Kluyveromyces lactis: one gene and its partner. Each later gene encodes a partner of the first gene's protein in a complex. Links are inferred from orthologs where the notes say so. Each region holds a gene or a part of one and is shown on either strand. Other genes may lie near its edges.

What was found. The genes of interacting proteins can lie anywhere in the genome.
Region 2: ABF1 (region 1) and RAD7 share a complex: the UniProt entries of both Saccharomyces cerevisiae proteins name them as parts of the global genome repair (GGR) complex. The link is inferred for Kluyveromyces lactis from reciprocal best matches to the Saccharomyces cerevisiae genes ABF1 and RAD7.

Annotation. Positions count from the first base shown.
Region 1 is NC_006042.1:270,637-278,986, forward strand, and holds ABF1 (DNA-binding protein ABF1), read right to left. Parts: upstream 7,137-8,350; coding exon 5,652-7,136; downstream 1-5,651. Other genes in the region: KLLA0_F02882g (uncharacterized protein), read left to right, coding at 1-916; putative GTPase MTG1, read right to left, coding at 1,201-2,358; KTI12 (Kti12p), read left to right, coding at 2,557-3,576; ATP25 (Atp25p), read right to left, coding at 3,705-5,393; multifunctional nuclease RAD27, read left to right, coding at 7,805-8,350. UniProt on the Saccharomyces cerevisiae protein: General regulatory factor (GRF) that contributes to transcriptional activation of a large number of genes, as well as to DNA replication, silencing and telomere structure. Involved in the transcription activation of a subset of ribosomal protein genes.
Region 2 is NC_006037.1:710,053-717,802, forward strand, and holds RAD7 (UV-damaged DNA-binding protein RAD7), read left to right. Parts: upstream 1-1,178; coding exon 1,179-2,906; downstream 2,907-7,750. Other genes in the region: GTPase-activating protein GYP1, read left to right, coding at 1-859; PRP39 (Prp39p), read right to left, coding at 2,967-4,814; BFA1 (Bfa1p), read left to right, coding at 5,295-7,124; pheromone-regulated K(+) transporter PRM6, read left to right, coding at 7,651-7,750. UniProt on the Saccharomyces cerevisiae protein: Component of the global genome repair (GGR) complex which promotes global genome nucleotide excision repair (GG-NER) which removes DNA damage from nontranscribing DNA.

The sequences.
Region 1 (8,350 bases):
CAATGTTGAACTAGTCACAATCAAATTGACTAATTCCAATAACCAGGATGAGATAAAGTTCGTTCTTAGAGCTCTAAGATTCATTGATAAAGGTGAAGAACTTCACATCAAATGGGACTGGGACCTGAGACATCCAATATGGAAGTTAATAAATCATAATGAGAGCATAGATTCCATTGAAGAGCCACAAAGGTATCTTTTCATACATTCCATAGACACCATTCTAGGAAGTTGTGATTGTGCCTGTGGAAGTAATAGTAAAGATTGTTACTTGCTGAAAATCAAACGCCATTCTCAATCACTCTATAGATCAGTCAAATCAAAAATGAATAATCGATACAAGCTTAACGAAATATTACACGGAAACAAATTGCAAACCAAAAAACAGTCATCTATTCTCAGTAAATTAGCGCATGCCACAATCTCAGACGCAGCAAGGGCCAATGAATTTCTACTTAAATTCAATGCCGTTAAGCTAAAGATGTTAGAACCGGTCTCTGACACTGTACAGAAGAAGTCTTTCCATACGAACGCTGGGAGTATCAGAGGGAACAAATACAGGGTTTCAGTGACGGAGTCCAAAAACAGGGTTGACCCCCTTAAAGAAAGTCTTTCATTCATTTCAGATCCTTCTAAGTTCGATGAATCACAGATTAAACACCCAGCCGATCTTCCTATTCCCATACAGACAATAAGTACTGAAGATAACCCTCCAACTGACACCACCATAACAAATATAACCGAAACTATATCAAACCAAGGACAAACTAGTGTCACTTCCGATTCTAATAGCATTAAAAATTCGTTGAAGCGTGGAATAGACAGCGTTCCCGGCCCTTCGTCTACTATCCACCAAGCTCAGATGAAAAAGAAATTATCGTTTGCTGATTATAAGAAAAAAATCAAACCTGCTTAACGGATGACTTCCTTGGTATCGAAACCTTCATTAGCACGCAAACTTTTTTTTCAGTTCGGGATGTACCTATAGGTAGTCAGCGGTGGTAATAAACGGGGAGAGTGTACTTAACAATTTAGCCTCCTTCTCATAAAATGAACTTTTTTTTGCGAGTTATTTAGGAATTTGGACGGTGGGTTCGATTTGCTTTATCGATATATGTTGGAAAACTAGTCTATACTTTTCTATTATTTATTTACATTGTTTATAATTAACCAAGAACTGACTACTTCTTAGGTATTCTCTCAGAAAAGCGTATTTGCCTTAGATAAATGCTTTTCTCTTTTGTTGAGTAAGGGTTGGGATAAAACATCCCAACCTTTGAGAATTTCAAGTTCTTCTTGCATAGTTTTCTTGTATTGAAAGTTTTCCAAAATGGGTTCCAACTCGAATAGAGCTGGAGTAGCTTTAGAGGACTTCTTAGAACCAGATCTTAACCCAGATTTTAAAACTCTACCTTGTCTCCAAGAATCTGTCCAATAGATGGCTGCAGCATTCTCGTTTGTCATTCCTACTTGCTTTTTGAGGCCACTCAACAAAATGTCAATGTTGTTAGTAGGGGTTGTAGTGTAGTGTGTGTAGAATTGATATTTTCCCTGTAGGTTCAAAAGATACAACAGAAAATCTGCTTGAATCACAGGGTCCACTAGATTGTTTTTAACGCACCCACATAAACTGAGTGATAGCATTCTTTGCTTGCTCATTGCTTTGGCAGGTAAAGATATTCCAGGCGTATCATATAGAAACAACCCTCCTTTATAATCACTGATTCTGATACATTCACTAGTGTTCCTGGTGACACCTGCCTGATCACCTGTCTTCGCAACCTTCTTGGGTTTGCTTCCATCCGAATGATCCAAGCCTGCATATCCAGTAAATCTTAAACTATTAACGAGTGTTGATTTCCCAACATTAGGCATGCCGCCAATTAGCATTCTATAACCCAGTGGTAGTCCCACAGTCTTCTTCCCCGGATCATTTTTCTGGAGAAACTTATCATACTTCCATTTTAATATATGTAAGAGATCTTTAGCGCCCTTTTTGCTTCTTCCATCTATCATGATATATTGTTCGTCCATTTCCTTATGCCATTTATTTAATGATGCAATAATAGCAGGATCGCATTGATCAGTTTTGGTGTAAACTACTAGTCTGTCAACTTTCTTTTCTAAGGACAAGTAATCGAATATGAGGTTCCTAGTGGCTATTGGAGCCCGGCTGTCTCGAAGTTCAACTAGAAGATTAAGCTGAGGAAGGAGATTTTGAGCTCTTTGTATAGCTTTCTTTTGATGTCCTTTGAAGTCACTTGTTGGTATATTGAAATCTGGGAATACCATTCTTGGTACAAATGTAGACTGCAGCCGTCTACCTGAGTATTTGACACATTTTACCGAAACGTTCATATCTTCCAATACAGTAAGTTTGTGAACAACTATTACAGTTAATGGAGTTGTCGTTAATGTTTATGACAAAGAAGTAATCAGTAGTTTGTCAACTTTCTTTTGGTGAATCATGATAGGTGATCATTAAAGCTTCTTTCAACATGAGAATTACTTTTTACTGCGTTCAGAACAAGAACTTTGAAAATACTCGATGAGCTCATGAAAAGAGGAAAAACTCAATCATTGTTTCAGACTTTGCAGCAACGTCTAGTGAACTTAGAACCTCTTGACTGTACAGCAATGCCCTTGGTTTTACTAACTGGTTTTCCGAGTAGCGGTAAAACAACTGTGGCCAAGAAACTCGTCACGTTACTACAGGAAACTATCGATTCCAACGATAAACTGTCAAACTATTCTGTTGTATACCATTCAGATGAAACCTTAAACATATCTCACGATGATTATATTGGGTCAAATGAAGAAAGAAGGGCAAGATCTAAGATTATGTCTGTGGTGAAGAGAGATCTTTCTCGTCAGAAAGTCGTCATTGTTGATTCGTTGAATTACATAAAAGGATTCCGGTATCAATTGCACTGTGAAGTGAAAAACGTGATGACAACGTATTGTTTGATCCACACGGTATGCCCAATGAGCAACTTGGTTGAATGGAATGAGAAAGAGACTGATTTGCATAAACCTTGGGAAAGCAATTTTTTGAATGCTCTTATTCAAAGGTATGAAGAACCAAACCCTCAAACAAGGTGGGATTCTCCATTATTCACTATATTGACGTCTCAAGATGACATCAGTACCCTATACACAGATATTAGTAAGGCAATATTCCCAACCGTGTTCAAACCGGCAACGAATGATAGAGATACTGAGAAGATCCTGCAACAATTAAAGCCAAACAATGCCACGATATTGAAGGCTGCCTCTCACACTAACTCTTTGCAAATACTTGACTCCGAGGCCAGTAGTGTCATAAAGATTATAATGAAATATATGCAGCAAAATGTGGTCAGTGGTGGCACTTCAAGAATAATTCTTACTCCTGAGAATACTGATTTAAACGATCCAAACTGTCTTTATGTCGATCTCTCACTACAAAATTGCTCCATGCCTCAATTACAAAGAATAAAACGTCAATTTGTTGCAATGAATAGATTAAGAAACTTAGAGCAAGATAGAGTAAAACCGTTATTCGTTGAATATTTGAACAAACATTTGAATGTCTGAATTCTTCAACTCATGGCAACACTTAAAGCGCTTTGATCGACATAATCTTTCACATGAACACTTATCTCACATTAAAATAATGAAGGAAATTTCCTTCCAGAATAATATCATATCTGTCTATAAACTATTTACAGCTTTAGTAGCTTCTTAATATTGGTATGACTACCATCCACCCGGTCAAGTAACTTCGATAGTGACGCTTTTAAGTCATCACTTATCACCAATTTACTTCTATGAATCCATAACAAATGACCATTATCCACTATATCTGATAAAATGACTTTGTCATTCTTGTTTAATAATGATTTTATGAAGAAATCCCATACGTTACTATCGACAGCACTCTCACACAAGCATTGTTTCCAAAATTTAAACAAAGTCGGCCAGTTTTCACTTTCTACCAAAGTCGTTATTATTTCTTTTATCACGTCATTTGTTAATGATCTTACCTCAAATTCATTTGTGATGAGATTGACATACTCGTAAAGTGAGTTAAGGTTAGTGTTTTCGGTATGCATTGACTTAACTAAAAGTTTGATGACCCTGGGATCATGGACAACCTTAGGATCACTATATTGATATGACTGTAAGGCCTTGAGAATCCACATATTCACACTTATCAGCTGGTTATAGCTTTTCGAAAGTTTGAGATGTTGAATGCAAATTTCAAGAAAGCCAATTAACTCCTCTCTTGTCGGCTGACATAATGCCAATTGCTTAAACCTAAAAAAATCATTGATGAAATAGTTTAGTTCTCTGTTAAACTCTTTGATTGTACTGGCATCTAACTGAGTATTTTCTTCTATGTTATTTCTTTTGGAAATGTAAAGTAACTGGAAAAACTTGAACCTTGCACCCCAGTACTCATAGTCTAACGGACCTTCGGTTGGTGTGGCTTCATTAAATAGCTTTATCCAATTTTCGGCATCAAGTTCTATATGGTTTGGTAAACGTCCGAGAGCAGATGCTATAACATGGTAAGGCTTTTTTTCTTCTTTTATCAGTTTTGAAGCGGAATCTAGGTCCTGGATTGTAAGAGCTTCCAAGAACGTTGGTTTCGGAGATTCTCCCACGGTAGAATAGTATCTTTTCGTATTTTTCATCATCAACTTTCTTAATCCAAGTAAAACATCATCCTCTTCTTCCGCTGGTGGGTTTAAATTGATTTGCTTCTTGTACTGGTCAAGCTCCTCAACACGACAATACAACTCCTCCAAATTCAAATCATCTCTTCTTTCCTCAGTCATTATATTGATAAACAGCCCATCAACGTTAGAATCTATCAAACACCAGCCACTTTCATCATTCTCTATCTTGGCTATTTTGCCCAAATTAGTTTTCCTGCCTAGACGCCTTTGTCTCTTTCTTAGTATACCACTGGTGACCAAACCTTCCGATTTGGGTACTTCATCAAACGTTTCTTTAATAAACTTTATTAGCTCATCATTACAGTTTTGAAGGTGTCTAAATGATTTCACAGTACCAATTAAAACATAGCTAGCCATGCTTTGAATTGAAGTGGCAGAACTGGAGTGGGCAGTGTCGAAAACCACAATGTCCGTTACTGCCAACTTATCATTTAGATATTTTGAAATGGTTTCTAGTGAAGCAGGAATTTCTGTAGGAGGAAACCGTATGGGTTTAATGAAAGGAGAATTTGAATCTTCCTCCTTATTCTCTGATATGTCCAAATACCACGGCTTGCTCTGTCTTAAGGAGTGTCTGGTGGTAAAATTTCGAATGAATAAGGTAGAACCCGGTCTATAACAAAGACGAGCCACATTGTTGCGAAGAAGTACTGCGTAGGATCTATGCATGGTTAAACTAATAGACAAGCTCAACTTCTCGAAACCGTATGAATCCAGGTAACTGGTTAAATGTATGTTCCTGAATTTTTATTATAATTGTGGAGCTTCTGCAGATCGTTGAATAGGAACCAGTTAATGTTCATATATTTTTTTTTTCCATCATAAAAGTTACACATAAGATAATATTATATATAGTTACAATTTTACAATTTTTCAGTAAATATGAAAAGAGAGGAATGTGTCATGAGGGTGTATTAAATTTGTTGGTTATTGTCCTCTTAGTTCCGGCTGAATATTTTCATCAGGAATATCGTCTTTCTTGAGATTATTATCGGAGACATTTTCCTCGGCTTCAACTTCCTTCAAATGAGATGACAACAACCTTAGCTGCTCCGCCATGTCGTCATGAGGTGATAATTGTTTATGGCCAGTGACTAAATCGACATCGACGTTCACGTCAGAATCAACACTTTGATTTGACAGGATATCTCTGGTAGCCATTTTAAGAGCTTCCGCGACTCTGTCTCTTTCTCTTCTGTGGAGCTGTCTCTTGGAATCGGGTACACCGACGTCTAAACTTTCATCGTCTTGCACTTGTTCTAGCGTACGTTTCAGATCCTCGGTATCGTGGTTTTCTCTAGACTGCAGAGCCGCTGCAGCGGCAGCTGCAGCAGCTGCGACACGTACGTTAGTGTCATCCAGATTATGTATAGCGGAATCATCATTATCACTGATCGAACCAATTCTGTTCTGATATACATTATGTCCACTATCAACATGTGATTGGTGTTGTTCCTGGTGTTGTAGTTGTTGCTGTTGCTGTTGGTGATGATGCTGAACGTCGCGTTGTTGACCTTCGGGTAGTTGGTGTTGGTGGTGAGCTGGTATCGATGGATGATGATGGTGTTGTACTTGATGGTGGTCACCGCCAGTCAATTGATGAGCGGTGGGCATTGCGTATACGCCATCCTTCTTTCTTTTCAAGACGAATCTGGCCTTATACGTGGTAACACGTCTAGCGATGTTACTTAACATTTTCTTATCCATTTCAGCTTCGGTCAACCCGTACCGTTGCTTGATGATATCGAGAATCCCGGATTCTTCCACGTACTGTGCCACTCTAAACTTTGCCACTGTATTATCGTCATCGTTACACAACGACTCTAGAATAGCGTCGAATTTGAGATCAACTTGTAAAATCTTTGGAATTTTACTCAAGACAAACCGTTGCAAAGAAAGGTTTGATTCCAACGGATGGTTATGATAAGGTTCAATCTTGGTTACCACGAAGGGACCCTTGATAGTCTCCTGAGAGTCTGCAACTGCTGCAACTGCCGCTGCGATAGCAGCAGTCACAGCCGCATCATCATCCTCATCATCGTCCTCATCCTCCGCTCTACCATCTTCGGCCAAATTCGTATGACCATTATGGTGATTCGAACCAGACGACGAAGAACCACCATCGCCACTTAAACCATGCGGAGAACCATCCTCAGACGAACCAGAATTGTTGGCGCCCTGATACGACAACAAAATCTTGAACGGACAACTTTTCAAATGGCACGCGAAAGTGAAATGTTTATTCTTATGTGAATTCTTCAAAATAATAGGACATCTCGATTGAAACTCATAATCGTTAATTACATCGTACCACGCCTCTAACGTGGGGAAAGACCGTTTCTGCGCACTCACAGGATCTGGCGCAGCCAGATCCTTATTGATGATCGGGTGCTTGTATTCATATAACGACATCGCTGGATTCGAAACTCGCCAATTCACGCACAAAAAGGTATACCTTTTCTGAAGCTCTCTGTTATCTTTTAAATAATCCTCTTCGTCACCCAGTGCACTGCACTCGCTCCGTTTACTCTCTGCCCTATCTCACTTAGCCGCCGTGCCTTCACAGAATAGGTACGTTCTTACGGTATTATTTCGTTTATACCAATCGACGAAACAATGAACCTTTCGCCTAAATCCTTGGGCCTGCCGGCTTCCCTTTCGTGATTGTTGACACTTTCATCTCAAATCCTGTTCGTTCGTTGTTATATTTTTTTTTTTTTCATTTTTTTTCCATGTGGACTGACCCACTTGAAGGCGTTGGTGAGGTTACCCTGGATATTAGTACGCTGATTCCGGGTAACACATATTTCAGTGAAGAATGATAAATGGTTGCACGTGATAGTGATTATGAAATGAGTGTCACGTGATATATTATAATTATTATCATTATTTTCTTCTCTCTGCTTTTTCGCTCCAGCGTCCATTGAGACGTATAATGGATAGTGAAAAATTACAGGCCATCAGCAAGGGACGCGTCTTGTCAGCTTTAATAAAGTGGTAGTATACCTCAAACTTCTGAATATAATTGAACAACTACAGCCTCTGTAAAAAAGGCCGGTATTTTTTTCAAACCAGTTATCATGGGTATCAAAAATTTAGCTACACTTATTTCTGAGCAAGTACCGAATGCTATTAAGAGCAGAGATATAAAGTATTTCCATGGAAGAAAAGTAGCCATCGATGCCTCGATGTCTCTTTATCAATTTCTCATTGCTGTGAGACAGCAGGATGGGGTTCAGCTCGCTGGTGAAGATGGAGAAACGACGTCGCATCTTATGGGTATGTTCTACCGTACGTTGCGCATGATTGATCATGGAATAAAACCATGTTATGTGTTCGATGGAAGTCCACCAGAACTTAAGAAATACGAATTGGATAAACGTAAGGTGAGACGTGAGGATACCGAGGCTAAGTTGAAAGAAGCCACGGAACAGGCAGAAATTATCAAACATGAAAGAAGACTCGTGAAAGTTTTGCCATGGCATAATGAGGAAGCTCAGAAGTTGTTATCTCTTATGGGTATTCCTTACGTTGTGGCACCTGCAGAAGCTGAGGCGCAATGTGCAGAGCTTGCTAAATCAGGGAAAGTGTTTGCAGCTGCCAGTGAAGATATGGATACATTATGC
Region 2 (7,750 bases), on another chromosome or scaffold:
AGATGTAACAACTTGGCATCAAATTGAAATTGACATACCGAGAACCAACCCACATATTCCATTGTACCAATTCGAATCAGTTCATAATTCATTGAAACGGATATTGTATTTTTGGGCCATAAGACATCCTGCCAGTGGTTACGTACAGGGGATCAACGATCTAGTGACACCTTTTTTCCAAGTGTTTTTGTCCGAATACCTTTCACCATCGGCAAAGGATGACGTTTACAGTTTAGATCCGCTGACGTATTTGACTGCAGAGCAGTTGTCTGATGTAGAAGCGGATTGTTTCTGGTGTCTATCCAAACTCTTGGAACAAATCACAGATTATTTCATCCATGGTCAGCCTGGAATATTGAAACAAGTCAAACACCTCAGTCAGTTGGTGAAAAGAATAGATTGTGATTTATTCAGCCATTTCGAATCTGAGCACGTTGAATTCTTACAATTTAGTGTCAGATGGATGAACTGTTTGTTGATGAGAGAGTTCCAAATGTCAATGGTGATACGAATGTGGGATACATACCTCTCCGAGACTTCTTTGGAGACAAGCATAGTCTCAGAGGATCTCATGTCTGACGCATCGACTTCTCTGGATAGAAAGTCGAGAACATCGTCATCAGGGCCCTCATCTTCAGACTCCAGACAAACTACTCTCAGTGAATTTCATGTTTTCGTTTGTGCAGCTTTCCTAGTGAAATGGTCAGACGAATTAATGAAGATGGACTTCCAAGAGATAATTACATTCTTACAAAATCCACCGACAAAATCGTGGAAGGAATCTGATATAGAAATGTTACTAAGTGAAGCTTACATATGGCAGTCGTTGTACAAAGATGCTACTTCTCATTGGAGGTGATCTTTGAAGGGAGAATACTAAAATTTAATACTTTCACATATATCTAATATATAATGTAAACTGCCTGATTCAAACAACTGTATTGTGGAGAATGAATAACTAACAGCCCACCTGCAGGTTCCGTGAATCTTCTAGCATACTTCTCCTCGCATATCTCTTGCTTTTTTTCTCATCAGTAGCATCATTATTGTTTGCAGTGTCTGAAATTATTGTTAGCAAATAATTAATCAAAACTTAATCTCATCTCATCTCAATGAAGTTGCTGGTAGATAAGGTAGTCTCGACTGGCGGTTAAGGGGCTATTCCACGAGATATCGACATGTATAGAGCAAGGAGTCGTCGGAACAACGATGGTAGTGGCGTAAGAGGACCAAACAGTGCTTTGACCCAGTTTTTAAAGGAACAAGGTATTAGTGCTGAGAATATTAGAGATAGATGGTTAGAAGCTCAAAAGAAGGAAGCCGAACATCCACAAGAAACTCAGAAGGATGATTCTGAAACAGAATCTGATGAAGATCTTAAAGCAGGGGTAGCTGCAAAAAAACGGTCAAGAAAGCCCAGAGCTGTTAAGAAGCAGGAGTCGTCTTCTTCCGGAGAAAGTGATGATGATGAGGACGACGACGACGAAGATGACGATGACTACAAAGCAGAGGCGAGGCTTCGCCGGTTACGTGGTGCTGACCTAGAAGATTCTGATGAGGAAGAAGAAGTATTGCCGGTTTCTGATCGAAAGAAAAGGATGTTGACCTTGACTAATGGTAAGAAAACTTCTCCGCAACTAGCTAAGGCTCGCCATCAACAGAAGAAAACTAGAAGAAAGAAGGCTGCCAATCTTTTAGACAAGAAGGACTCACTCATTTCATCATTGCAGGATATATGTATTAAAGTTATCGGTAAATCTATTGTGGAATATAATGCACAATCGATGGTGGAACATATTAGAGATACTTTAGGTGGTGTATCTTTAGAAAACTTGAACAAACTAGCACAAGCTTTGACAAAAAATCGGGCCTTGAATGATGATACTTTACAGTTATTCTTGAACACCAGTTTAACTACTTTGACGTTTTATGACTGTTCAAAGTTGTCATATGAAGGCTACAAGAGACTTGCCATCTTTTCGCCGCATTTAGAGTCGCTTTCCTTACAGATGTGTGGACAGTTAAATAATGAAGCTCTCTTGTATCTAGCCGAAAAGCTACCAAACCTAAAAGAACTATACCTTGATGGACCGTTCTTAATTAATGAGGATACATGGGTTCAATTCTTCGAATTGCTAAAGGGTAGACTTACTGCTTTTCATGTTTCCAATACCCATAGATTCAATGATAATGCATTGTCAGCTATGCTTCGAAATTGTGGATCGTCCTTGGAATCTCTAGGTCTAGCAACTCTAGATACTGTGACAAATTACGCCCTATTACCGCAATATCTTAACTCTCCTAATTTCCACACTTTGATCTTGGAAGAGCCATCTAGAGAAACAGATATTAATGACGAGGTTATTATAAGTTTGTTAGGATCCATAGGCCAGAACCTTAGGAAGTTGTCGCTCAATAGATGCACTGGCTTGACTGATAGCTGTATAATTAATGGATTTTTACCATTTTTGTCTAACTCAGGGCAATCAATCCTTACAGACTTGGAATTAGAAGAATTGGATCAGATAACCACCGACGGCATAGTTCTATTATTCTCTTCGTTGCAGTTCCCTTTGTTGAAAAGATGTAGCTTGAAAAGATGTTTTGCTTTGGAGGATGCAGCCGTAGTTGAATTATTACTTAACTCCTCTTCCACCTTAGAAGAGTTGAATCTAAATGGTCTGAAATCCCTAACATCCAAAACTTTCACCTTCATGGCATGTCCTAACCTCAAGCAGCTAAATATAGGGTTTGTCCACTGTGTGGATAATGAAATTGTGGAAAAGATATCCAAGGACAATGAAAAGCTCACTATTATTGAAGTTTATGGTGATAATCAAGTCACAGGCAAATGCTCTCCTCGGAATGGTGTAAGCATTATCGGAAGGCAAAGTGACAGTATATAAATGATTAAAAAAATTCTAGGATCATGAAAATGCTTGAGTGTGAGAATGCCCTTTCAGCTACTACTTTAAATAATCTATAGACATGTAATCATCAAATTTAGGTTTCTGATGGATCTTTTCTAAATTTCTAAAAGTAGGCAAAGGTGCTGGATTGAGCTGCTTCGATGCAAGCGTCTCTATTATAGTATTTTTAATTTGAGGCTTATCAATGAACAATCCAGGATGACCGTTCGATCTATACTTTTCTGATTTATACCAGTCCTTGGTTAGCTTGGCGTTCGGCCTCCATGTTGGGTTGTTGATTTTGAACCTATTGTGAACTATTGGGTCAAACCCAAAACGGGATTGCGATAAATTGGTTTCGTACTCGGAATAATCTGCATTGATTAGATAAAACCCTTGGAAATCTCGTACGATATCATTGATAACTTTTGTTGGTAATACGATCTCAGTGCCTAATTGATCGACAAACTTTGTTAATCTGGCGATATTTTTTTGAGTCTTTTCAAACTTGTAGTAAGTCAACCAAAATAAGACTGAAGTCTTGATCGGATCCAATTTGGCGAAGTATGTAAAGTGTTTCCTGCATTGAATGACGTTCTTCAATACCAGCCAATGCACTTTTATTAGTTCAACTACCAGTATCGGAAGAGTAGTGTCATTTAGCATGGCAAGCAACTGCTGGGAAATGTCGTGATTTTCCGTATCTGCATTCCCTGATAGGTACGCCTTGATAGTTTTATCCAAAAATGTAGCATATTTACTCTGTTGTTCCAAGATCTTTTTGTCTTCATCATTCAAAGATGCTGCAAAATATCTTCTCTTGTGAAACCTTAAATATTTAATAGTTGAACTTGGATCATGTGGCCATTTAAGCTGGAACGTGTATAGAGCGTCCATATAGTGTTTGGAAGATAATTTATTATATGGATCCATATTACTTTCCAAATATTTGATGTATTTTTGCTTGAAAGATTTATTATCAGCAGGAAGAGCCCGGAGTGCTCTTTCAAACAAGGGGAACGTACATTCGGGACCAAAAGTCCTTTCAGTCCAGTCAATATAGGCTCCCCAGAAATATTCGTATCTTAAACATGGAATCAAACATCTCTCAAACGTCGATTTTATTAATTCTGTACTGAACTCAGTGTTGTTGATTAAGAAAGATAGATAAGCATCCCAATTCTGAATCTCATTCTCGGGAAGCTCAGGGATATTGAAAAATGGCTGTTTTATTTGTGATTCATATGTCCATATTTTGTTCACCTTCTCCTGGTTAGAAATAAATGTGGTATCCAAATGGATGCTTGATTCCCTATTAGCAAACTCTGGGTGATATTCCAAGAATTCCTTAAAGCTGGTGTAGTATCTTGCATATTGATGCAAAGGTTGCTGCATGACTTGTTTGTACACCTCAAATACGTTTTCCCAGTTCTGTAGTCTTGTTTCATATGCAATGTGCTTATCCCAAATATCGTGCGAGAGGAAATGAGATCCCACGAGGGATTCGCATTTCCTGAACTGGTTTCGTATCAGTTCACTATCATTCTGATTATGTGTTAGATAAACGTTCAACATATCAATCCAAAGATCTATCGACGTAGGGAACGAATGTAAAGATGCCTTTAAAGTAGAAATAGACCCTTCTAATCCATCTAGCTGATATTTCACCGCAACGTATCGTTTCCAGTAACCAAAAAATAACGGATACCTTCCCAATAACTCATCAAAAACTTTATATATATTGCTCTTCACATGTTCATTGGGATTATTGTATTTCTGTACCAATGCTTCTGTACCAACCACCAGTTTGTCGATAGTAGTTATATCGTTCCAGTCAACAGAATTATAACTCTGCACCCATTCATCGTTATTCTTCAGAAAAGTTTGGTCTAATCCTTCAAACATTTCATAAAATCCCTAGTTTCCTTCTTAAATTTGATATGCAAACCCCTGCTGCCGACTTCACACTCAAAACGGCTCACGGATAGCAGCTAAAGGCTCTTGTTCTGTTTGGTGGCATCATGCATCTTTAACAGAGATTTATCTTAAAGAATTACAATAATACGGTTCTTTGCAATTTTGAATCATTTTGGAAGCATGAAAGAAAAACAAACAGAGATAAACGCGCCTAAATGAGTGTTTAAAAGGTAATTATTAACTTAGTCGAATTCTGGGAATCTCAGTGTTTTATAGGAGTGCTCGAAATGCAGAATTGGCGTCTCAACAGCGGTTTAAACAGCAATTAATATAGTATCACGTCTCACGAATATGATTATTTTGTTTAAGGTTAATAGATACATCAATGACGGAAGCATTAAAGGTATGTTCGAGATGTAAACAAAGGAATAAACAAGGGAAAAGACCAGGGACAATCTTCGATTATCGATGTCTATACGTCCAGTTGTACTGGATGATGTCGGAGAAACATCATTTGAAGATGTTGAAAGCACATTTACTTATAAAGATGATATAGAGGTACCGAGATTGGCACCTAATTCAGCTACATCCACAACTACGGAAAATACCACATTCTCTAAGGATAAGAGGTATTCATCACACACGGAACTGGCGAGCGATCTTGATGATGATATGAACTATAACAGTGATTTTGAAGAGTACCAAAATGGTACAGACCTACCTCTTGCTGTGGATAGACGATTTAGGGAAAGTTCGGATCAGGACGAGCTAGCTGATTTGCAAGAACAACTGGAGAAGAAGCTATCATTGAACCTGAGAAATTCTAAGACCGGTGGTGGTAGTGGTACTAGAAATGTGGATCAATATATAAACCATGCGGGACTAGTGCGGCCATCGTTGAAGGATTCGGTACGACAGCGTAGATCGATGGTCGATTTGGCAACCCGTAGTAAAGGTAATATTACAAGCTTGAATTCACAGCAATCGCGTCGAGTACCGAACAGCAGGTCTTATATGAACCTTAGACCCAGTTCTGGTCGAACTCTCAGTTATAAGTCATCTATGCCATCGTTAATGAGGTTCAACCGTCAAGATGTGTTACTTGAGGACGAAGATGACGAAGATGACGATGAAGATGAAGATGATGAACCCTATCCATATGTGCCCAGAGTTAGAAGGAGTTACAGGGATCTTGGACCAAGGTTTGGTGAAAGAACTGATGACGGTAACGTTGTCCAAGACATTGCTGTTGAGGCTACAGAAATGGCTAATAATGGAGACGACGATGACGATAATTTCGGTAATGATTTTGAAGGAATTGACGATAACTTCCAGTTCGCTACTAATAACAACAATAACTTTTCAGCATTTGATCCAACATTACGTTTATCACCCTCAGAGTATGATATCGAACATGATGACACTTTATTAACACCACAGCTGCATAAGAAGCATTATGCGTTCGACGCTCCGTTGGATTCGTATAGGGAAGCTCGTCAACAACGGGGTACGGCAAAACAGGCCGCTGCTGCTGCTGCTGTTAACAGACGTAATTCTACAAGAGCTCGTGCTCGTTTAAAGACAATAAGACAAGAAATTGATCTCAACACGCCGTTGAAAAGAGGTAAGATGAAATACAACCCAAGGGAGAAACGATGGGATGGTAATGAGGATATTTTAAGCAGTTTCGATAACATTGAAAATGTCGATCGGAAAGCGTTTATCATCAAGAACAAAAGGTCAAAGTCTCCGTTGAAGACTTCGTCCTCTACTCAAATAGCGGCATCAGGGACGAATGCGGCCTCCTCAAATTCTCAGCATGGGAAGGTCGTGGGAAAAATGAGATTTGATGAAAAGAACCTAAGATGGCTACGAGTTGATGGTACTGAAGAAGATCCGTTTCATGGTATCACAGACTTGATGCCAAGATCTCAATCTTCACCTACCAAGAACGTCAAATTCCAATCACAAGGACATTCTGGTAACATTCTTCGATCACAGTCTCAACTGCCGTTCGGAAGAGATGAGCATGGAAATAGATTTATCTCTTCAGAATCCACACGATTCCACTCTTTGACTACAAACTCAACCACAGATCCTACGTACCAAATTACAAGCAAACAATTAGAGAAGTTTTACCATGAAGAGAATAAATGGAGCAGGAAGGTAGGTGGATGGTTCATTCTTGGTGATAAATCTAGAGACACTGGTTCCGCAGACCAGTCACATACCAGTTTAAATGACAAATCATACATGTACGAAATCAGGAATATGGTTATCTCATCAGCGCGTAACTGATTCTGAATCAGTGTCCTGACATGTGTCACCTACTATAGCATTTAATTTATTCAGAGACAATAACTATACATATAAAAAATCATCTTTTATGATAGAACGGAATAATCTCTCTAACATAACATCTAGGTCATTCTATGTTACAAAGCCTATCGCACTACATATTCGGCACTGATTTCCTTAATATAGTCCCTTTAAAACCATCGGTTTTTGTTCAGAATTCGATTATAGATCACGGTCAAAGAATCTTTTTATAGGAAATCAACATTTCCTTATATAACAACATTAGTTTTAAGATGAAACACGAAAGTAAATAACAACAGTTGGAGGTTTAGAATAGTCTATTTGGTACTTAAGAGACATTATATTGGTGGTATCATTGTATCCCATATCAGAATCAATTTTGGAGCTCCCAATCAGTATCTTTTTGTTTTATCTATGGTATATGATTCACTTTGAGATTATTTATAGATACTTGCAAAGACTGATCTGTTTAGTCGAATAACCTGAGTGCATTCCCTCTTCTAATATGTTTGATAATGATAGAAAGTTGGATCTTAACTCTAAGACCTTTGATGTGCTTGATCTCGAGCTGTTCAAGAACTATAGATTCAAAACTGTGGTGAGTT